Tamandua tetradactyla: one gene and its partner. The protein of the gene in region 1 purifies or fractionates together with the protein of each later gene. This does not show direct contact. Links are inferred from orthologs where the notes say so. Each region holds a gene or a part of one and is shown on either strand. Other genes may lie near its edges. The genes, in order: DNAAF2 and UBE3D.

The links.
Region 2: the proteins of DNAAF2 (region 1) and UBE3D purify together in Homo sapiens (affinity purification with mass spectrometry; 4 studies listed by BioGRID and IntAct, counting the BioPlex papers as one, with this or other methods). This does not show direct contact. The link is inferred for Tamandua tetradactyla from reciprocal best matches to the Homo sapiens genes DNAAF2 and UBE3D.

Annotation. Positions count from the first base shown.
Region 1 is NC_135340.1:3,068,345-3,080,342, reverse strand, and holds the start of DNAAF2 (protein kintoun), read right to left. Parts: upstream 4,661-11,998; 5' UTR 4,550-4,660; coding exon 2,756-4,549; intron 1-2,755. UniProt on the Homo sapiens protein: Required for cytoplasmic pre-assembly of axonemal dyneins, thereby playing a central role in motility in cilia and flagella.
Region 2 is NC_135331.1:139,841,189-139,853,463, reverse strand, and holds the start of UBE3D (E3 ubiquitin-protein ligase E3D), read left to right. Parts: upstream 1-7,436; 5' UTR 7,437-7,524; coding exon 7,525-7,598; intron 7,599-12,275. UniProt on the Homo sapiens protein: E3 ubiquitin-protein ligase which accepts ubiquitin from specific E2 ubiquitin-conjugating enzymes, and transfers it to substrates, generally promoting their degradation by the proteasome.

The DNA of each region.
Region 1 (11,998 bases):
TTTTGGTTCTTTATTGTGTCAGAGAATCATCTGTGTTTTTTCAAAATTGCTTATATTGGGGGTAAAGAACTGCTCCTAAATTGTTCTTTATATTACTTAGTGTATTCCCTTCCTTAAGGGAACTAGCCCTACAACTTCTAAAGCAGGGTGTCTGTCCAATTAGCCACTAAAAATTACATGAAAAATGTTGGGTGTATAGGGCACTTATGTGGATAGAGTGTCATTCTATAGCTTTCATAAAATTTTCAAATTTTGGGTCATAAACCCCAAAAAAGCTCAAGAATCACTTCACCGTAGAATATTGGGCAATTCTGCGTGTCAGCCTCCTTAATCTACAAAATGAGCCAACTGGACTAGGATAACTTCAAGGAGTCTAACCAGTTCTAACATTCTCTGCATCACTGAGCTCAGTGCCTTGAAACTTTGAATCCTAAATCAACTGATCCCACACTCATGGCATAACTAAAAAATAACATTATAAGATGAAGTAGAAGTTAGGCTGTTGTAGTTAGATTCAGTTGTCAACTTGGCCAGGTGAAGGTACCTAGTTCTGCTGCTGTGGACATAAGCCAATGGCATGTGACCCTCATCTGTTGCTGATTACACCTGCAGTCAGCTAGGAGGCGTGCCTGCCGCAATGAATGATGTTTGATTTAATTGGCTGGTGCTTAAATGAGAGACTCAACACAGCACAGCCCAAGCAGCTCAGCACACCTCATCTCAGCAATCACAGCTCAGCCCAGGCCTTTGGAGATGCAGAAAGGAATCACCCCGGGGAAAGTTGTTGGAACCCAGAGGTCTGGAGAGAAGGCCAGCAGAGATCACCCTGTGCCTTCCCACGTAAGGAAGAGCCTCAGTTGAAAGTTAGCTGCCTTTCCTCTGAAGAACTAATGAAATAAATCCCCTTTTATTAAAAGCCAATCCGTCTCTGGTGTGTTGCATTCCTGCAGCTAGCAAACTAGAACATAGGCCATATTTACATTATGTAAAACTGAAAATGGAAGCTGTGTATCTTTTCTCTCATACAGATATGAAATCTCTATTAGGAATAAAGGCTGGTTATTATTATTGTTTCTAAGAAAAGAACCAAATTTCACTTTCATCAAATTGAATTGAAAATATCACACTTGACACTTTTCATTCGATTTACAATTTCTAAAGTGTACCCATATTACGCATTCTAGACTATATTTTTACCCAACATTATAGATACTATGCCTTTATATGATTTAAGACCTCAAAATAATTCTTCAGTGGGAATATACCATGATCCCAGTGAGCAGCCCAGCTTAGGAGTTAGCACAGTGGGAAATCAGATGAAAATACATCGTTCAGAATTCTCTTCACCGCTTGCCCATAAAGTTTTCTTCCCACAAACACTGTGAATTATTTTCACAACTATTAAAACAATTACAGGAAGATGACTGCCGTTTAATAAATTTCCCCCTTCTAATGACATAAACAGATATGCAATCTCATCATATTCACACAAAATACCTTACCTAATGTTGACTATTTTTATTGTTTTGGGGGATTTCAAATTAACCACTTCTCACCAAAGACAGTCAATTTGTAAAATCTATATATAACTTACTGGCAAACATCTAGAAAAACAAATAGTGAAAATTTCTGACAGGCTAAAAAGACCAAGGTCAACTACTTAATTTTTAATATATAATCTGCGTAACTAGTACTGCTTCTGGGAATTTGACACTTGAATATGTTAAAAGAACTAAAAAAGTTACATGTAAGGTTGATACATACCACTATCAAAATCACAAATTTATGAATTCAAAGAATTCTTTAGAACTTCAAATTTTAAGTGATTTTCAGTCATTTGCCAATAACATGGTGGAGTGGTGATTCTGAAATGCAGGAACCTCAATAATCTTAACAAGCATAGCAGGACTACAAAAGCACATGTTGAATTATTCCTCAGAATTATATCCAAGTTAACTGGGCCGCATCCAGTTTTCCAGCGCTGGCCAGGGGAGCTGCGGCTGATACACGTGCTGCTTAGCTCAACATACGTTCACTGACACTTGGCTAAGCGCCAGGCGTTGTGCTACATACCAGGGGCCCGGAGGTGGTCCCAACTGGGCAGTGGTCATTTCAGCGCCCTACCGTCACCACCAGACGACAGCCCCGCCTGCCTCTGGGACAAAGTCGCGCAGCACCGTAGGGCGGGTAAGGCAGGATATGTGAGCCACAACTGCCTCCAAATTCATATTCCCAGTAAGAACTGTGCGCAAATGACTTGGTCTTTGGAAGTAAATTTACTTTTTTAAGATTAAAAAAAGCGATTTGCCAACTTAAAATATGGCCATTAGGGAGTGGTTCTCAAATTTATTTGGGTCACAAACGCTTTTGAGAACATGATGAAAGTTAAAGCCCCTCTCCCCCCCAAAAAGCACCCTGATTTTTTTTTTTTACATTTAATTTCAGAAATTCTCCGATTCCTGGGAACCCATTCGTGTCCTTCTTACTACTCTTGCATTACGGGCAACTTCGAAGATTTGAAACCCATTCACCAGAGGAGAAGCGTGGACGCTTCTTTTCTTCAAAATACAGAGAGAGCGTTTTAAGCGCACGGGCATCTTTCATCAGTTCCAATCCACTATCAATTTCAAGCCATTACAAGAGACACGCTAACGGAAAGCACTTTGTTTAGCATAAATGGAGAGGGTGTCTGTAATCAACTTCGCAAAAGGGACGGAACATTTCACAAGTAGAAAGCTCTAGCAAGAAACGTTACCTCCAGAGAATCCTTGTTTAGACCGTAATACCACTCTCTCCAAATCCCAGGGCTTTCTGGAGATTTGGACAGTTCGATCACTGCATTGTTTGAAGAGATGCTAATCACGGGTTCCCTGACGCTCAGTTTATTCTCCGGAGCAAATTGCAAAAAGAAAGAATAGTCAGCTCCGGCCTGCGTGGAGAAGCCCAGCCTGTACCGCCGGGGGCTCACTTCCCCCCGCAGACTGTCCGCCTGGATCCCAGGCACCGGGATGAGGAGAGTCAGAGAGCCTTCGTCCTGGCGGCACTGCAGAGGGGGGCGCAGAGGCGCCCCGCGCTGCGTCCCCGGGCTCGCCGTGGCCCCGGCCGACGGCTCCCTGCCGGTTCCCTCCGGGTCCACGCGCGCCTCCGCGCGCACAGCCCCGCGCTCACCGGCGGTGGCGGCGGAAGACCCCGGGCCAACCCCCGCACGTGAAGGACGCGAGGAGTCCCCGCGGCCGCCCCCACCAGCGCCGCCCGCGGCGGGAGGCGGCTCCTCCCCCGCGCCCAGGGCCGACCCCGCGCGCCCGCCGGAATCCTGCTCCTCCGCGGCGCCTGCAGCCGCCGCCTCGCCAGCACCTGTGCCCGCGCGGCCCGCGCACCCCTTGGCAGGGCCCGCCTCCCCGGCGCCGGCGGAAGCGCAGGCCGTGCCGTCAGTTCCGGGCGCGCACGCCGCCTCCTCCCGGGCCGCCGCCGGCCCCCAGCGCGCGGGCGGACGCACCACGGGCAGCGTGACGACCAGCTGCCGCCGGGCCGTGTGGAAGCGCGCTGTGCCGCGGCTCTCATCCACCGCGTAGGGGAGCGGGAGCCGCAGCCGGTAGTCGGGCCTCCGCGAGTCGAGGCTCAGCAGCTTCCCCGCCACCTCCAGCGCCGCCTGCTCGGCCGAGCGCAGCAGCGGCAGCTCGATGGTGACCACCAGCTCGCGGGGCACCGGGCTCGGGGCCGAGTCGCGGGAGCAGCGGTAATCCTGAAGGTCCACGTGGTGCCGCTGCACCACGCTGCAGCGGGGCTCGGTGGGGCCGGGCCGCGGGGCCTCCTCCGGGGCGGGGCGCGTTTGGGGCCGGGGGGCTGCGGCGCTGCCCGGGGCCGCCGGAGCCGGGTACGGGTAGGGGAAGTCCGGGAGAAGGCCCTCGGGCTCTCGGTCGGGCCGGGTCGGGGCGCCCCCGGGCAGGGGCGTGCGGAGCACGGCGGCCTCCGGGCTCCCCTTGTACTTGGCCTTCAGCACCTTGGCGTTCGTGCGGTCCAGCGTCACGCCGAACTGCTTCTCCACCGCGCCCAGCGCCGTGGCGTCCAGCATCTGGCGGAAGCGCGTGCAGCGCCGGGCCAGCGCCAGGGCGGCGGGGTGGAAGACTACATCGTAGACGGTGTAGCGGCCGCCGCGGCGCCCCGCGTACTCGCGGCCCGGCGCCAGGCTGTGCGGCAGCGACCAGAGGCGGCCGGGCGCTGCGCCCTCGGGCCCGGGCTGGCTGCGGGGTGCGCCCACCAGCGCGTTGCCGCACACGTTGACGAAACAGCGGCGCACCCCGTCCAGGCTGGTGCGCAGCGCGTGGTCCGGCTCGGGGTGCACGAAGCGCACCTCCACCCCGCGCTCCCGCTCCAGCGCCGTGACCTCCGCCTCGTAGCGCCGCCGGTTCTCGGGGTCGGTGAGCTCCGCGGCGTACTCGGAGAACAGCCGCCGGAACTCCGCGTCCTGGAAGGCGGAGGTGAGCCGCTGCACTTCGTCCGCGCTCAGGTCCAGGTCCTCCAGCGGCGAGGGCGCCCGCGCCTTGGCCATGCTGCCCCGCAGCCCCTCACCCTCTGGCCGAGCAGGGCGAATCGGGGTCCCGGGCACGGAGTGTGGGGCGGCCGCGGTCCCTAACGGCCGGAGACTCGAGCCCTGGGCCGCGCGAGCCCGTTGCTATGGTGACGCCGCAACCCCCACCCCACCCCCACCCCCACCCCGGGAGGAGGGCGCGAGGCCCGGCAGCCAGTGGGCCACGGTGCGGTTGCTCGTGCGGAGGAGCCGTTACGTTCACGGCCGTCGTGCCCAGCGCGATATGGGTTCCCAGGCGGTGCTTGTAACCCTGCAGGTGGGACCCATAGCGTGGAGAAGGAGCTGGGACCTGGCGTCACGCAGCGTATTCACAGGCTGCAACTCGATCCATTGTGTTCTACTTTGCCAAGGCAACGTTTTCTTCTTTATTTTCTCCTTTCCATTTGCCCTGTAAAAGAACTCATCTGGGGTGAGAAATATGAACACGCTATTCCTAAACACATACTAAAGACCTATAAACATACAAAGCTATCACTTCGTTAGTGATAAAAATGCAAATAAGATAACACATATCACCTACCAAAATGGCAAAAATATGTATTCAGAATATAGTGCTTCCCTGAGTGGGCTCAATATTTAATAAAATTTCTAGAGAGTAGTTGAACAGTTTGTATCAAACTGCATACTTTTTGACCCGGCAGTTCCAGGTGTAAGGGAATAATTGAGTTGAAATGCAAAGACCTAGTGCGTGTTTACAGCAACGCCGTTTGTTCTAAAGGCTGGTGAAGAAGACAGTACAACACTGGCTTTGTTGAGCCAATTTTGGCAGAGCATGTAGTGGAATTCTAAATAGCCATTCAAAGTGGTGTCAGAAATTTACTGACTGAGTTATTTATTGATTGGTAGTTGTTAAACTCCGGGTCTTTTTTTTACTTTCATTTCTTTAAGTGGCATTTAATACAGTAGAAGTTGGTGTTAGCTCCGTGACAAGACACGTTACAGATTTCTCTCCATGGCATCAGACCCTCCAAAGGCCACTTTGGGGCTTAAAATATCCCAAAACAGAACCCTTGATTGTTCTCCTTTCCCAGACCTCTAGGCCTCATCTTTTTTTTTTTTTAATTAAAAAAAAATTTTTTTAAAATATGAAAACAAAGAAACAAACATTCTTAACATATGATCATTCCATTCTACATACATAATCAGTAATTCACAATATCATCACATAGTTGCATATTCATCATCATGATCATTTCTTAGAACATTTGCATCAATTCAGAAAAAGAAAAAGACAACAGAAAAAAATTCATGCATACCATGCACCTTACCCCTCCCTTTCATTGATTGCTAGCATTTCAATCTAACCTTATTTTAACGTTTGTTCCCCCATTATGTATTTTTATGCTGTATGTTTTACTCGCCTGTTGATAAGGTAGATAAAAGGAACATCAGACACAAGGTTTTCACAATCACACAGACACATTGTGAAAGCTATATCATTAGTCAATCATCTTCAAGAAGCATGGCCACTGAAACATAGCTCTGCATTTTTCCCTCCAGCCTCTCCATTACATCTTGACTAACAAGATGATATCTATTTAATGCATAAGAGTAACCTCCAGGATAACCTCTCAACAGTGTTTGGAATCTCTCAGCCATTGACACTTTATTTTGTCTGATTTTGCTCTTCCCCCTTTTGGTTGAGAAGGTTTTCTCAATCCCTTGATGCTGAGTCTCAGCTCATTCTAGGATTTCTGTCCCATGTTGCCAGGAAGGTCCACACCCCTGGTAGTCATGTCCCAAGTAGACAGGGGGAGGGTGGTGAGTTTGCCTGTTGTGTTGGCTGGAGAGAGAGGCCACATCTGAGCAACAGAAGAGGTTCTCTGTGACTCTTAGGCCTAATTTTAAGTAGCCTTGACCTATCCTTTGTGGGGTTAAGTTTCATATGAACAAACCCCAAGATTGGGGGCTCAGTCTAGGCCTCATCGTAAGGGTCTCTTGGCAACATTCAGAACAGTTGACTGAAGCACATTTTTCTCTTTTGTTACCAGACAAGGGTGGTGGATTCCCTGACAGATGTGCTCAGTGACCAATCCCTGAGACACAGGGGTTTCCCAAGACGGAGCTTATTGCTAGGTGCGAAGCAGATCACGTGGCCTCTCAGTCCAAAAATCTGTCTCTGGGAGCTGCGGATGGCTTTATATTTCCAAAAGATGGGCAGGTCTTAGGGCAGTGAGCACAGTGGCCCTAGATGATGTAATTAGAGGTGCTTTAATCGAGCATGCGCAGATTGGCTACATGCTTAGTCACAGAACGTATGTAAGAAAAATGACAGCCATAATATGATAATTGATATGATGGTTTTAGTATTATAATGAGGTACTGTGACTTGTAGGTTAAAGTCTAAGCTACTGTGCATGTCAGGCGGGCCCATACCTGTAAGATCCAGCTTTAGTTATCAAGATAACTTTGAACTTGGGGTGGCTTAGTTTTGAGCTGAATATAGCAACAGGCACACGCAGCCCAAGGGCTCAATTCTCAGACCATTGCCAATGCCTTAAACATCTCCATGGCCTTAGAACTGTAAACTTGTAACCTAACAAATCCCCATTGAAAAAGCCAGCCCATTTCTGGTATATTGCACTCCAGCAGCTTTAGCAAAACCCAAAATGCTACCCAAATTCCCAATAGTAGTAGAATGGATAAATAAATGTTGTAAATGTATGTAACACACTGTCATACAGCAACAATGTGAGTTAATATTGCTAACATAAATTGAATAAAAACCAATTTATTCAACCAAGTGCAAAATAATACATTTCATTTGATTCTATTATATGATAGGCAAAGCAAAGTTCACTCTAAGTCGTGTTGGCGATTTCCCTTCTGCCAGGCAGTGCGTGTGTTAGCACACCTGGCTTCTGGTTTCCTTCTGGCTCCTCATATTCGCTCTCTGCCTCACACTGAGTGATTTCAGCTGTCACCGTCAAGTTCTAATTCTTTCTTCTGCCAGCCCGTCTGCTTTTGAACCCTTCCTGAGACTTTTCTTTCCTATTACTGCCGTCTTCAGCTCTGTTAGGTTCCTACTGATAATTTCCATCTCATTTGCTCTTGTTTGTGTTCATCTGTCATTTTCCTGATTTCCCTAAGTTCTTTGTTCATACTTTCCCTTAGCTCTTTGAGAGTATGTAGGACCATTTTCTAAAACATTATTTATTGTGACATACATATAAAAAAATTTTTTTCAAAGTACACGTAACAAGTTATGGAAAAGATCTCAGGGTTTGGTATGGCTTTCTGTTCCACAGCGTGAGGTTTGCCTTCTAGCTGTTCCAAAACCCTGGAGACTAAAAGATCAGTATACTCATTTTGTAGGACCGTTTTTTTAAAGTCTTTGTCTGGTATGTACCAGGTCTTGTTCTTGTCATTGATAGCTTCCAGTGCTTTAATTTTCTGCACTGCCTGGGCCATTGCTTCCTGTTCCTTTGCGTGCTTTGTAATCTTTTGTTGAAAACTGGACATTTTGATATTTTAATGTATCATCACTGGAATTTAGGCTCTAAGGCATCTGTTCTTTATCCTTGTACCAAGCTACTGTTATGACAGAACTTTTGTTGAATGCCAGGAACTAATCAAAATAAAAAGGAAGGAAAAGAAAACACCTTTCCTAATCTTTGAAACTAAATTTTCACTAGCACTAGAAACTATCAACGACAAGAACAAGACCTGGTACATACCAGACAAAGACTTTCAAAAACGGTCCTACAAAATGAGTATGTTGATCTTTTAGTCTCCAGGGTTTTGGAACAGCTAGAAGGCAAACCTCACATTGACCCCTGTGAATGCTCTCCTTCAGGGTTTCTCCTACAGGCCAAACTGTAGGCCTCCTTGACCTTTCCTGCATATGCCTCTTATCTTAGACATGCCCTAGGAATTTTATACCCTTTACACCTTCTTCCCTAGGAAACATCCCGCATGTGTCCAGGCACTGTATTGTTATGTCCTACAGCCAGTGACTCCTTGCTTCAGGCAGCACGGCTTGACTTCTCTCCTACTGTGTTCCTTCAGAGAGCTCTGTGAACTGTCTTTTACGTACAAGGCAATTTCTGGGACATCAAGTCTCCCAGGCCTCGGTCCACCACGAGACAGATTGGGCCAGGCATATGCTCCCAGTATGTGCACATGAGCAACTCTGCTCCCTCCAGAAGGAGTGCGTGGGCTGGGTGTGTGCCCATACGATGGGCTGGCTCCAGACAGCTGGTACAGGATGGGGACTGGGCCAGCCTGGGCGCCCCGAGCTCCTGCCGATTTTACACAGCCTTGTCTTGATTCTGCATTTGCCCTGTGGCTGATGGAATTTTTATCAGGATTGCGTTGAATCTGTGAATAATTTTGGGTAGTATTGACATCGTAACAATATCAAGTTTTCCAGCTTAATTGGAAGACCTTTATTTAGGTCTTCTTTAATTTCAACAGTGTTTTGTAGTTTTTGGTATACAAGTGTCTTATAATACTGATGGCCAGAACTGCTCATACATACTGCCTTGCTTCATTTCATTTCATATTGTCAGCCCTAAATGCACCCTGTAGTCTAATCATTAACTATGTTCCTGAAATGATTTCAGAATGCATTTAGCTTTAATTATAAAAGCAGTTATTTGTTAAATGGAAGAGTGGATGAACACCTAGCATCCAAATTCCACTTAAACCTTTCTACCCATCTTCATATTTAGCTCTGTAGTTCTCATAATTAACGTAAGACCAACACTTCACTATATTTTCAAGACCCAAATTGTCATTTTTCCCAAGCATTCTAGTGGCTTTAAACCTATCCCTTGTTTGTTTGTTTTTTTTTTTGGCTTTTAAAAAGGAATTTAATAAGTTGCAAGTTCACAGTTTTTAGGCTGTGGAAATGTCCCAATTAAAGCAAGTCTATAGAAATGTCCAATCTAAGGCATCCAGGGAAAGAAGCTATCTTGATTCAAGAAAGCCAGTGAAGTTCAGGGTTTCTCTCTCAAGTGGAAGGGCACATGGCGAACACAGAGTTTTTCTCTCGCTGGTCGGGCATGTGGGGAACACAGCAGCATCTGCTAGGTTCCTCTCCAGCTCCCTGGGAGGCATTTTCCTTCTTCATCTCCAAAAGTCGCTGACCGATAGACGCTCTGCTTCGTGGTTCTGCGGCGTTCTCTGGTGTGGCTTTCTCATGACTGTCATTCTCTGCTCTCTCTGAATCTCCTTTTCTCCAACATATTTCCCCTTTTATAGGATTCCAGGAAACTAATCAAGACCCACCTGGAATGGGTGCAGACACATCTCCACCTAATCCAGTTTAACAACCACTCTTGATTGAGTCACATCTCCACGGTCTGCTCTCCTGGCCCGAGGCCTCTTGACTTCAGACTTTAGCCTTCATAGTTCTGCCTCTGAAGTTATTTTTCCTCCAGTGCGCCCCTTCTCTGTCCCTCTCGGTCCCGACTGGCAGTGGTTCTCGTTATACAGATTCTGCAACACTCTCGTTGGCTTTCTATGCAGTAGCCTTGAATCATGCCCATCAGATATCCTGGCTAACTCCAGGTTCAGTCCTGGCTTTCTCTGAAATAGGTGACTGGTTCCACATTTGGCCATATCCTCACATGGGGCACTATTCTCTGGGGTCTCCCTTCCTGGAAGTCCATATCCTTTGATTTTTATAATTAAACTTCAATTTTTCCAGGCTATTTTTGAAACTAAAGCTAAACCCTACTCTTCTAGTGTCAGGCCCCTTCTAACATTCTCCCCAACTATTCAATCCTCAGACTGCATCTCAAATCACCATTTTTTCCTTAATGCTAAGTACTTAACACTGCATTCAATTTAAATTTCACTGAGGCTCTTCCCCTTCACTATGTCATTTTCATTTTTTTATTAGTATTCCTTCCAAAAAAGCTAATCCTATTTGAAAGAAATGTATTCTACTTCAGGCTTTTTTTTAAGTTTTAACATTACACCTATATTTGAAACATCTTTTGTACTTCTAACAAATTTCTGTCATTCATATTCATTTCTGGGCTCTCTTTCCATCAACTCCATAAACTAAATGATAAATAAAAGGAGTTGTTGAGTGATTATACATAAAACAGCAAAATGTACTGCTTCAAAATAAACATGTATTTTAAGCATAAAATTATGGGTACTGTATATCTTTAACTTTCCAATATTAAAGCCTTCAGGTGATCATGTAATGAACATTAAACTAATAACCTCAAGCAAAGGCTTGCACTCATTAGAATAAATTCTGTTGCTTTGAAATTTAAACAATTTGAAAAGCTGAATATACTGTTCTTATGGTAATAAAATTCTAAGACTAAAACAATGATTCACAAAATTTTGAGTAATTGTGTTTTCCTTAAAATGAACAGAGTATAGTATGACTGCTATGAAGATAACTGTAATTTTTAAGTGCAAATGTATAGCAGATTTTATCCTTACATATATCTCATATTTTTCTTAAAAGAGTATGTAGATGTATGTAGTGGAGACGCTTAGCCAACCTATAAGTATGCTTAAGAGTTACTTCTGGAGGACCTCTTTTGTTACTCAGATGTGGCCTCAGTCTCTCTAAGCCCAACTCTGCAAGTGGAATCATTGCCCTCCCCCCTGCATGGCACATGACACCCAGGGGTCAGAGTCTTCCTGGAGGTGTGGGAGATGACTCCCAAGGATAAGGCTGGCCCTGGCACCATGGGCTCAACAATCCATCCTGACCAAAAGAGGGAAAAGAAGTGTATCAAATAAGGTATCAGTGGCTGAGAGTTCAAATAAGAGTCGAGAGGCTACTCTGGAGTTCACTCTTATGCAAGCTTTTAAGTTACGTATCATAGCTTGCCAAACCCCAACCAAAACCATTCCAACCAATCCTAAAGAACACCTAGGGCATTACATAAGATTTTACAAAGGTTCCATGTGCTAGGGTAGCCTTCCAGAAACCTACAGCCTCCAGATGCATCCCTAGACCCGTTAAGTCCTGAAACCTAGAGGGCTCAACCTCTCCAGAACATCAGTCAGTTCCATCCTCCTTCCAATATGAAAAAGTTAGACTGGACATGGCCCAGATACCCCTAAAGAGTGGGAAAAAGATCAAAAGTGATGGTGGAGTTATAGGGAATGTAGAGCTTAACAAATGAGTATGATTGCTGAATCATACTGATGTTTCTTTTAGTCTCCCGCATCTTAGCACAGCTAGAAGTAAAAACCTAACAATTGTGGAATTGTAACCCCTACCAAACTCTGAAATCTGTTTTACAACTAATTGTGGTGCTGTGCTTGGAAATTTATTATTTTGTATTGATGATACTTTTCACAATAAAGAAAAAAAGTATTGTGATGAAAATGCACAGCTATATGATGATACTGTGAACCATTAAAAATAATAAAAGTATGCGCAAAGTTTCCAATAAACATTCATATATTTCCAATAAAACTTTTCAAGTA
Region 2 (12,275 bases), on another chromosome or scaffold:
AGATTCTACAAAGGTTCCAAGTGCTATGATTACTTTCCAGAAACCTACAACTTCCAGATGGGTTCCTATTCCAGATAAGCCCTGAAACCCAGAGCCTGTCCAAGAACATCAACTAGTTTCATCCCACTATCCCCTATTATCGACAGCCTTTTCCAATATGAAAAAGTTAGAATGGGTATAACCCAAATAACCCTAAAGACTGGGAGAAAGATCAAGGAGAAGGTGGAGTTAAACAGAGAAGATAGGATTTAACAAATGAGTATGATGGCTGAATCATTATATCAATATTTGTTTTAGTCTCCATTGTCTTGGAAGCATCTATAAGTAAAAACCTAAAAGTGTGGAACTGTAACCCATACCAAACTCTGAAATCTGTTCTATAACTAATTGTTGCAATATGCTTGGAAATTTATTGCTTTTTTGTATATATTTTATTTTTCACAATAAAAATGTGTGCATGGCTATTTAGCATGATTAAAAAGGAAGAGAGATGTGAAATACAAGTGAGGGATGACTCAAACTTTTAGTTACCTTACTAGGTATTTTTCCAGTTTATTTAAAACATCATTTTTCAGAAAACATTTTTCTCAAAATAAATATGGTCATTTGTAGCTAACCATTGTTCTTTGTTTAACAATGACAAATCATAATCTTAACATTTGTTCAAAAGAAATAAGCTATCTCACCTAAAACATATTACTAGAAATAAAGTAAAAGAATCAAAAACAATCTTTGGAGTGCAACCAAACAACATCATTATGCTAATCAAATTATTATTTTCAATAAAATAAAATTCAACCAAATTTTTTTTTAATTAGAAATTTAGCAATAATCAATTTTATCAATATTTAAATTAATAAAGAGTAACCATGAACCAATTATAATATTCAATTTAAAAATAAAGATTGGTTTACACAAGAAATAAAACCTGTTGAACACTGCTATTATTGTTCTCTGAATTTCTTTTACTTCATTATTGTCAACAGCACCATCATCTTTCTGATCATACAGGCTTATGCTTTGGCTTTATATCTTATTCTCATATTCAATCTATCAATAAGTTCTTTTTTCCACTCCTACCAGAATGGTCCTTTATCCATGGCTTCTGAATATTTTATATCTGAAAGAGCCTCCTATTTTTCACTACCTTCAGCTTTGCAAGAGCCACTTAATTTCACATGGTAAAAAAATAATTTGAGCATGTAACTCCCTGCTGGAAGCTCAGAAAAGTAAATTTGATAATCCATGAAAAAGATTTTAACCCATGGTTTACTTAACACATAAGAAGCATTCTTATCATTGCTATAATTTTAATATTCAGTTCCTTATAAATGAAATTCAAACTCTTAACCATATGATTAGTCTTAAAGTGGATCCATTCATTCTATCTTATTCACATTTCTGTTCCAGCTAACCAAAACTTAGTCACAGTCAACTGTTCAAGATTTGCTCCCTCCCATCTCAGTGCCTTTATAAATACTATTCCTTCTCTGGCGAAGCCCCTTCTCCTTTCTATTATCTGAAATTCTTCTATCAAAATTAAACTCAAAATGAGTTTTAATTCCATGAAATATTCTCTGATTCAACCCCTCTGACTAGGCTCATTCTTTAATCAGTATAACCCACCTGACTTGACTCATTCTTTAATCAGTACATTTATCAATATTCAGAAACATGGCTTATATTACAGTATAGTTCATATTTCTAAACATATGAAGTAATTTCTTAGACCCAACCATTTACTTCCTTTGCCTAAAACACAAAATCCCAATTTGACTTAGCTAGTACCAATTCATTCTTCAGGTCTCAGATTTTTAACCCCTTTGGGAAGACTCACTTGTCTCCTCTATCATCCCCCAAACTCATATTCACACCTCCTTCCTGGGGACTTTCTACTATGCACTGCACAATTAAATGCAACTTAAAAGCATAAGACTATTTATCTGTATTACTCAAAGGACTAAAACTGCTGTGCTTTTAAAGTTTTTCTTACTACAGTCAGTTGTCACTTCTATATAATGACAATTTATCTGATGTGCTTCTATACTACTGCTTTATTTTATAGTGAAGATACAATCTGATGTCTGATGTGTCAATTTCTTTATACCAAGAAGAAAGCCTCAGTTTGATGCCAGAATGTTATCAAAACGTGGATAATTCTTTGTAATACCTTTTAAAAAAAAAAGAGTAACAAGTTCTAGGCTTAGAGTCTTTAGCAGGCAATAATGAAGACCATTTGTTTTCATTATTTTATTTTTATGCCAACCTTTTATTTATGAAAAGTGATAACTGCTTTTTATTTATAGTGGTTATTTCACGTTTCTCTTAAAAATACTTTAAAGAAAACAGTCACATTGATTTAAGGAAATATTTAGAAAATAAGTATGCAGACATGGTCAAATTTTGAAGAGGATATAAGAATGACAGAAATTTGAGAAATATTGCACTAATTCATGTGGTCAACAAATAAATACGAATGCCTACTATGCGCATGCCAGTGGTTTAGGCATTGTGTAAGACAGAGAAGGATGTTCAAAAAATGTTACTGGGATAATCAAAAGAAAAGGAAATTACTTCAGAATGAGGTCATCTAGAAGGGATTCACAGACAGTGGCATTTGAGACAGCATTTGAAAGACAGGTATAATTCAGACAGAGACAGGGAGAGCATTCTAAAAAAGCAAAAGCATAACAATATATGCCTGAGTAATGAACATGTTCCATATCTTTTTTTTTTTTTTACATGGGCAGGCACCGGGAATCGAACCCAGGTCCTCTGGCATGGCAGGCAAGCATTCCTGCCTGCTAAGCCACCGTGGCCCGCCCTACATACCTTAACTGAGGTGGTGGCTACATGAATGTGTATATATGTGTTAAAATTCACTGAAAAGTAACTTAAAGTAGGTGCACATTATTGCATATAACTTTTACCTTAATAAGTTGATACAATATCTGACTTAAGCAAGAATAGATCAAAGATCATTGAGGTTTCAGGCCTGGATAGCTTGGTGGGGGTGGTGGTAGCTGCAGAATGAGTACAATAAAGAGAAAAAGGGAAACATAAGTATTTATTTTCATGTAATGAATTTTCATTACAAACTGTTAACTATAACAGAAAAAATACTAGTTCTATACTTGTACTAAACAGTTTTATTTCAGGGAGAGAACCTACCTGAATTAAGGCTTATTTATTTAAATGAAATGTTCTGTTTCTCCCTATCTCCCCACAACTGCATTAATAGCATTCATATCTAACAAAGTAACAAGAGCTCATTAATAACACTCACCATTAAGAAAGCAATAAAGAATAGACAGAAGCATCAACACTGGTTGTATGAAAGTGACACATCACCAAATTTAGCAAAACAAATGCATGACTACTAGATCATATTCAATACTTGGATTTGTTTGTAATCAATGAAGAAATAACTATTTCAGAATTTATATTTTACCTTGACCATTTCCATTATCTAAGCTGTTAAAAAATTTGGTTCTTAAGTACATATCAGGTGGTTTCTGTCACATTTCATACTTGTAAGAATTCATGACTAGAAGGGCAAACCATTCATAGTAAAATAATACCATTATCAACAACTTTCTACTTATTGGAACCTTAAAATGCCATCCTGAATAAAATCAGTAACTTGACCGTAAAATCAGTAACTTGACTGTAAAATCAAGTTCAAACATGAATAAAAAGAAAACATGTTAAAGAAAAGCACTGGGACACCAAAAAAGAAGATACTCTTCTGTCATAAAGCATAAAGACCTATGAACATCCTTAGTATTAATATTTAGTAAGAAAAATATAAACCCTTGGCTTATTCCAGTGAGGATTATCACTCTATCACCATGCTCCAGAAAGCTTAAACTGAAAACTAAAATCAATAACTTTTTGTATTTAATACACAATGCATGGAAAAACAAAACAATAATAAACAGAATTCATGGGATTTTAGAGCTGAAAGGGGACTCAAGTATAGCAATTTTCAACTTGATGAAATTTTCAAATTTCAAGTTAATTTCTACATAATTACCTTCTAGGGGACAGTAACAGGCTGCCCATGAGAAATAGGCTCTCTTTGGCCAGGAAATGCTGTGATAACCTTCTCCTGGAAATTTACATTGCATATAAGCATAGTAAAGGCTCTGAGGAGTAGGACAGTTAAAAGAAAATCAAAAGTTAAGCTTGGTTTAACCCAGTGTGCTTCCACATTATTTGCCATGGAACACTGTTTGGGGGCAGTAAATCTATTAATAGCTTGAGAACAACATTCAGGGGAATATAGGTTAGAAAACTTTGATCTTGTCAAACTTCCTTAAAGAGACAAACTGAGGCCTAGAGAGACCACACCTGATTAACTGCAGAACAACGAACCTGACCCTAAGTCTCATTCCCAGCCCAAAGTTCTTTCCACTATTATAACTACAAAATAGGACTCCTTTGATTGTTCAATGACAACATTTAATTTCCATTTAACATATTGGTTATGGTGTCAGATGTTTTGTGTGATCTATCTACCAGACTTAGGTCTCTCAAAATCACGTCCATCTGGAGATTTGCTTATTGTTTAGTAATTCTGGGGAATGATTTAGAGTGGTTGCTGAAAGTAATAAATTAAAGCATTTGTACTGCATGTGGTTTAATTAACTCATGTTATAACTTTCGTGAGTGCAACTAAATCACTGTTCAATGACTTTACTTGGCACAAAATGTTGACATGTTATCCACAGACTGACCTCAAAAGTAAGCCACATTAATATCTATATATAAAATTAAAATACAAGAGCTTATATTTGCATAGAAGATAGGCAACAGTATTAAAATTGAGAGATCTGTCTATAGTTCAAGGCTTGTAAGGCAAACATTTAATTTTCTTTATTTTTGTGATGAAAAAAATTGTTTTAACTGCAGTTTCTAAGTCAGATTTTCTCAACCTTTTTATTTCCCAAACTCCATGGAATTCTAAGAGTTAAGAATAATCAAAACACGACTTAGTTTTTAAAAAGTACAGTTGATGGCAACTTTTCTCTTCAGGGTAGGAGAAAAGAATGCGGGAAACCGAACAAATAACTATTGTTATGTTGCAACTTTTAAAAGGTTGGGAATCAAAAGTGATTAACTTCCGTCTGAATAAAATAACTTCCTCTTAATAAACTTCGGCACTCCTTTCTAACCTGCACACGTGAACATCAACCATGGCTGGCATTCCTGTCTCCTCAATACTAAGAAAACCCACCAGATGAATGAGATGACACGATACCCTGATTTCGCCAACAAAGACGCTACTCTGCACGCCTTTACTGTACAGGTGCGACCCACACCCCAACCCCGCATCCTGCCCAGCCCCAGCGCCTGAGGTTTCGGTCAAGCCACGGGACACCTCGGCCACGCCTCCCGCAAACCTTGCCCAGACTGCCCGCGCGCCTCCGCCAGGTGCCACAACGACGGTCCCCCAGCAATTCTCGCCTCCCCGAAACCCAGAGTGCGGCCGGCTTCGCCGCTACAGGCGAAGCTGGGGCCGCGATACCCGCGCCGCCACAAAAGCACAGGCGGCGCATCCCCGCAGCTCCGGAGCGAGCAGGGCTGAGGAGGCCGCCCAGGGCCGCCAACCAGCCTCGCGACCGCTTTGGGGGCGGGGACGCTGTTACCTGCTGTGGGGTCTGCCGTTCCCCGCCGGGGCCGCTCTCCTGGCAACCGCGCCAGCGACACCAGGGCCGAAAGCCGAAGGGCCTGGTGACAGCTCCCAAAGTGCACCGCGCTCACGCCGGCGTCGACGTCGAAGGCTCTACATCCCCACCCCCTGGTCGCTCCTCGCCTCCCAGCTGTGATTGTCTCCACAGTGCCCTCTAGCGGACTCTTGGTGACCAACAGCGGAAGTGATAGGGTTGAGGGGTTTATAGTAGGTGTTCTCAGCCTGCCATCACCAGAGCCGTCTTGATGGAGAGTTTGAAGGGCTACTAGGAAATGAATACGTTTCTTACGAGGAACTTGAGGCCCAGAGGGATTAGGGAACTTATGAAATCAGGAGACAAATAATTATCAGATTTGGAACTATTTTGAGTCTAGAACTCTCTCAATCATATCACGTTACGTCAAGGATATTCCACAGTTTTGCCTAAACTTTAGGGTAAAAAAAATGATGAAAAGGTTTTACGGATACGTGACTATGCATAAAATAGAAAATTATTTAACAATATTCAAAGATCGATTATGAGGAACATGCTGTGCTACAATTGTTATATATTTCAATATAAAATGCCAATTTTTAAGAGCCTAATATCCTTGGAACTTAAATGTGGATGATGTTAGGGGTTGAAATGATCAGTAAATTCAATTGTTTTGAGGTTTATCTCGATCCATGATTTTAAAATACTGTAAAGGATACACAAATCTGTGCAGCAGCAGAATAACTTTAAAACTCCCAAATACTGATTTTAGAAAAACGTTCTCAGGCGAGTATCTTTAGAGAAGTGGATTTATTTACTTATTTGAAAATGGTTCAAATTAATATTTTTGGTATGTGGTAATTACCCTTGGAATAGGAAAGAACAGGAGCAAGCATAGGATTTTTTTGTGTGCTGGCCACGGTTGCTTTTATTTTTTTAAACTAATAGCCTCTAGTTTTAAAAGAAGTCCTATTCTAATTCTACTGTGAACTTATACTTTCATATTTCCCTGTTATACTAGACACTTCGTTGTGTCAAAATTTCCAAAATTATCTTCTAATATAATAATGTAGTATTTATGACTTGAGTCAGTTTTAACTTCTGAAAAAATGGATAGTGGAGAAGCACATATGAGATCACCCCCACCTTTCTCTTTTTCAAGGTTTAAATGATTCAACATACTGGACTTGAACCACAGTCTCTTTTGCATAGATAACAGATAAGCTATTTACCCTGCAAAAAGATTAAAAAAAAAAAAAAAAACCAGAAACGGCTTCAGTTTTGCAGAGATCATTTCTAAGTTGAGAAGAAATGTTAGTCCTTGATATTTGTTGCCTCAGACAGAGGGAAGCTACCGAACGACCCTAGATCATAAACAAGAAATCACGATAAAGCGGGTTTGGCGTGGGGAATTCTGCTGTCGGGCCTCCCGGATTCGGCGTCCTCCTGTATCGCCCACTTCTATCATCCCCTTTTAGTGCCCCATCCCTTATCCTAGCTAGCCAAAGGAGTGTACCCCCAGTCTAATTTTTGTCGTAATTTCCAAGGAGGCTGACGAGGCAGGGCACGTGGGACGAGAAGCGATGCCAGAGGACAGCCTGCTTCTGCGCGTCTACCTTTCTCAGCACACCAGGTCAAAGCCGTGTTTTTAAAACACGCACGCGCGAGTGGTGCAGGGCCCCCACGGCCGCGCGCTCTCCGTCCAGCAGGTGGCGCTGTGGGCCGTGCCGGCCTCGGTCTCTGGCCGGGCTGCTCCTCCTACGCCTGCTTTTGCACCAGCCGCACGTGCGTGGTTCCTGTGCTGCAGGTTTGTCAGAGGCTCCGCCTGGATCCTACCGGGAAGTGGGCGCCCGCCATGGAGGGGGCGGCGAAGACGCGCACGTTCCTCGAGGTGCGGAGAAGACTGCAGAGCGCGCTGCTGATCCTAGGGTAAGCAAGGGGCGGAGCGTGGGCATGCGGGCGCGGCGCCCAGGCAGCTTTTTTTCTGCTACTCGCTGGGGGGTCGTCCTCCTCCCTAGGATTTTGAGTTTCTTCCCATTTGTGAGCCTGTGGTTACTCAAAGTGGAGTAGCTTTTCACAGTGCGGTCCCGGAACTGGCAGCCTCGGGACATCACCAGGGAGCGTTTTTTAGAAGTGTAGAGTCTCAGCCACACACCAGACCTCCAGAATCAGAGTCCTCGTTTCAACAGTATTCTACGGATTGGTATGCGCATTAAAGTTTGAGGAGCAGTTACACAAAATACTCCTGGCAATGACCGACGTTTCCAACAAAACAAGGCAAAAAAATTGCCTTGTCTAACTCTATCCTGGTTATAGGACCAACTTCGATGAGTGAGCTTCCTGTTTTGTAAACACTTCGTCTTTCTAAAAAAATTTTTTCCAAAACCGATTGCAGAGAAGTTCACATAAATGTGTGTTCAGTGAACGACTAACAAAAGTTGCAGTCTTCTTATTGGAACTCATTCTTTTATTCATATTCATAAGAAGTCGTTATTTACTACACAAATAAGAAACTTTTAGGAAAAATATTCTTTGTTTGGAAGCAGTTTTGATAGTAAGTGGTGCCCTCGCCTATTCTTTTGTGACCGCAGTTTTAGAAACAGTAAGTTAGATGGAAAATTCTGAAAATTTCATTTTATTACACAGCGCCACTCAGAGGCAGATGGATCCTTAGCTCTTCCACATATTCTTACCTCTGGCGTGGCAGCTTTGGATTTGGCATGAGAACGTGGTTCAAATCTTAGCTTTCTCACAAGGGTAGAATCATTTACTCTTAATTTCTTAAGTTGTAAAATGGGGATATTTATTTATTACTGTACCGAAAATCATGAGTTCACACAAATTTCTTCAATTCCAGTCTACCTTGTAGCGATGATGGAAACCTCAAAAAAGATAATGTAAAATTTAAGCCGCCATAGAAATGTAGATGGCTTTATATTTCAGATCACTTTAAGTCCTGAGTTTCAGCTACAGAAAAGGAAATTCTGTGTAAATTTGCTGACTTCCAGATCCCTCCCAACCAGGTACTGGAAGCAGTGACTGTGCCCAATATCTACAGGTTAATTGAGGTGTGCCTTAATACTTGCTATAATGGAATGCAATAAATATTATCACTTATTATCCAGCCACCAACATCCTAGACAGTATTACAGAGTACTACACACTTCCTCTTTTTCCATCTCTTTTCCTCCTCTGTAAGTCTGAGTTCACTTGCCCCAAACCATACCCTTCTGAAGCCTAGGGATCCTCTGAGCTGTATGTATTTTCACATACGTTACACACTTTTATTATTAAGAGGTTCTTATTTTTGCAGGTGGTGATTTTTGTTGTTGTTGTGTCAATTTATATACAATAAAACACACAGATTTTAAATATTCAGTTTGATGAGTTTTTTGTAATGCAGAGAGCTATACAAGCACAACCCTAACAAGACAATAACTCTTTCACTTCAAAAAGTTTTCTGGTGTCCCTTTTCAGTGAGTGTAAAAAACCCTGCTAACCATACTGTGATAACTGATAAGACCAGCTGCAGGGTTAATAATAAACGATGCTTCTACCAAGGTGAAACCTCAGCTGTCAAATGTCATAACAACCTCTTCTTTTGACTTGTTACTTACCAGTGAACTCCGAACCATCCTTTTCTTGTTCTCGACTCTGAAACAGTGATTACTGATGACAGTGATTACTTTCCAGAGAGCAGTGAATCCAGTGCTGATCCCAGTTTGTCTTATTCACACTCACATTAATCAGCCTGAGCCGAAATCTTAACAAAAATCACTCCCTACTTCCTCTTATTAGGAACCTTCATGGTTTCGCTGAAATACTTTCCCTTGTTTAAACAAGTTAATAAATTTAACTTTGCTGGACTACTGGTTTGTCTCTGGTGGTCTTTGGCTTTTGGTATTTATTACCAGTCAGTTCCCCCCACACCAGAAGCAACCAGTGTTCTGATTCTGCAAACACAAATTTTGCCTGTCCTTGTACATAAGTGGATTCATGTAGTATGTTGTGTGTGTGTCTGACTTCTTTCCTTCAACGTAATGTATTTGAAATTCATGTTTCCTGTGTGTTGCATTTATCAGTAGTTCATTCTTTTTTCTTACTGAGTAAGAAAAATGTTGTGTGTATATAACACAGTTTATCCATTCTCCTGTTGCTGGATATTTTCACTGTTTCCAGTTTGCTTAATAAACAAAGCTGCCATAAACTTTCTTGTCAAGTCTTTTTGTGGACATACATTTTCATTTCCCAGGTAGATACATAAGAATAGAATTGCCATGCTATAAGACAGATGTGGATTTTACTTTATAAGAAATTGCCAGTTAGTGCTTGAAAGTGGTACACTGAAGAAATGAAAATTCTCATCAGAAAAAAATTAGTTCCACTTAGTTCACATTCTTGCCTACATTTAATTTTGTCAGTCTTTTATTTTAGCCATTCTAGTGGATATAAAATCATATTTTGTGGTTTTAATTTGCATTTTCCTGATGCTTAGTAATGTTGAGTACCTTTTCATTTGTTTTTGGCCTTTTGTATATGTTCTTTTGTAAAGGGTTTGTTCACATTTTTTTTTTGCCATTAAAAAATATTTTTATTGAATTGAAAGAGTTTTATATATAATCTGTAAATAAAATCCTTCTCAGATATATACCTTGTATTTTCTCCAATCTCTAGCTTGCCTTTTAATTTTCTTAATATTGCTTTTGATGAATAGAAAATTTCAGTTTTAGTTAAATGTGCTTTATCTTTTTTTTTTTTAATTTTCTGGTTAGTGTCTTTTTGTGTTCTAAAAAATCTTTGAAGGTTATGATGATTTTTTTTTCCATTTTTTTTCTCACTAGGAGTTATATAGTTTTAACTTTGACATTTAGGATTGTAATCCATATTAAATTAACTTTTATGTTTGAAATGAGGTAGACATCATAAAGTTTTTTTTTATAAGTATACCCAGCTGTTTCATGACCTTTAGTTAAAGAAATTTTTGAAAAATTTAGTGTTTTAATCAGAAATCAGTTGACTACGTGTGGGTCTATTTCTTGATTTTCTTAGTCTGTTCCCTTGATCTTTTGTTTTAAACATTTTTTTATTGTATAGTATAACATATATACAAAGCAAAGAAATAAAAAAGCAATGGTTTTCAAAGCACTCTTCAACAAGTGGTTACAGGACTGATCCCAGAGTTTGTCATGGGCTACCATATGATCCTCTCATTTTTCCTTCTAGCCGCTCCAGAATATAGGAGGCTAGAGGGCTTAAATTTTTTTTTATCATCACAATCGACTTTTTTTTGTGAAAAATAACATATATATATATACAAAAAACTATAAATTTCAAAGTACAGCACCCCAATTAGTTGTGGAACATATTTCAAACTGTGACATGGATTACAATTTCAGAATTTTAGGTTTTTACTTCTAGCTGCTCTAAAATACCAGAGACCAAAAGAGATGTCAATTTAATGATTCAGCATTCATATTTATTTGCTAAATCCTGTCTTCTATGTATAACTCCACCATCACCTTTGATCTTTCCATCCCTCTCTTTAGGGTTGTTTGGGCTAGGCAATTCTAAAGTTTTCATATTGGAAGGGTCTGTCATTAATAGGGGACAGGGAAATGGAACTATCTGATGTTCTGGAGAGGCTGGGCCAGGTTCAGGGACCCATCTGGAGGTTGTAGGTTTCTGGAAACTTACTCTAGTGCCTGGAACACTTAGGAAATCTTATATATTGCCCTAGGTGTTCTTTAGGATTGGCTGGAATGGTCCTAGTTGGGGGTTGGCAGGTTATGATAGGCAGCAAAGTCTAGCTGAAGCTTATGTAAAAGCAACCTCCAGAGTAGCCTCTCAACTCTATTTGAACTCTCTCTGCCACTGATACTTTATTAATTACACTTCTTTTCCCCCTTTTGGTCAGGATGGAATTGTTGGTCCCACAGTGCCAGTTGTTCCTTTGATCTTTTGTCTATCCTTAAGCCAGGATAACGCTGTCTTGATTAATGTAACTTTGAGGAAGGCTTGAAATCAGGTAGTATGAGTATTCTAACTTTGTTCTTTGTTAAGATTATTTTTAACTATTTTAGATCCTTTGCATTTCCATATAGATTTAAGAATCAGCTTGTCAGTGTCTACCAAAAAAAAATGCTTGCTAGAATTTTGACTGGGATGGTATTGATTCTATACAAACATTCTAGAATAATCACCTTGTCAACAACATTGAGTTTTCTAATCCATGAACATGGTAAAACTCTGCATTTATTTAGGTCTTCAGTTTCTCTCTGCAGGTTTTCAGTGTAGAGAAATTGTACATTTTTCATTAGATTGATTTCGAGTATGTGACTTTTTATGCCATTGTAAATGGTTTTCTTTTAATTTCATTTTCCATTTACCCTTTGCTGCTGTTTAGAAACACAGTTAATTTTTGCATATTGACATGTATCCTGCCAACTTGCTAAAGACTTATTATTAATTTTAGTATTTTGTACGTTTTTAAAAATGAGCCCAGTCACATTTTCTATTAAAAAAAAAAAAACATTTTACTTCTTTCCAGTCCACATAACTGTTATTTTTCTTTTCCTTGTTACACTGGGGCTTGGAGTTAAGAGTTCA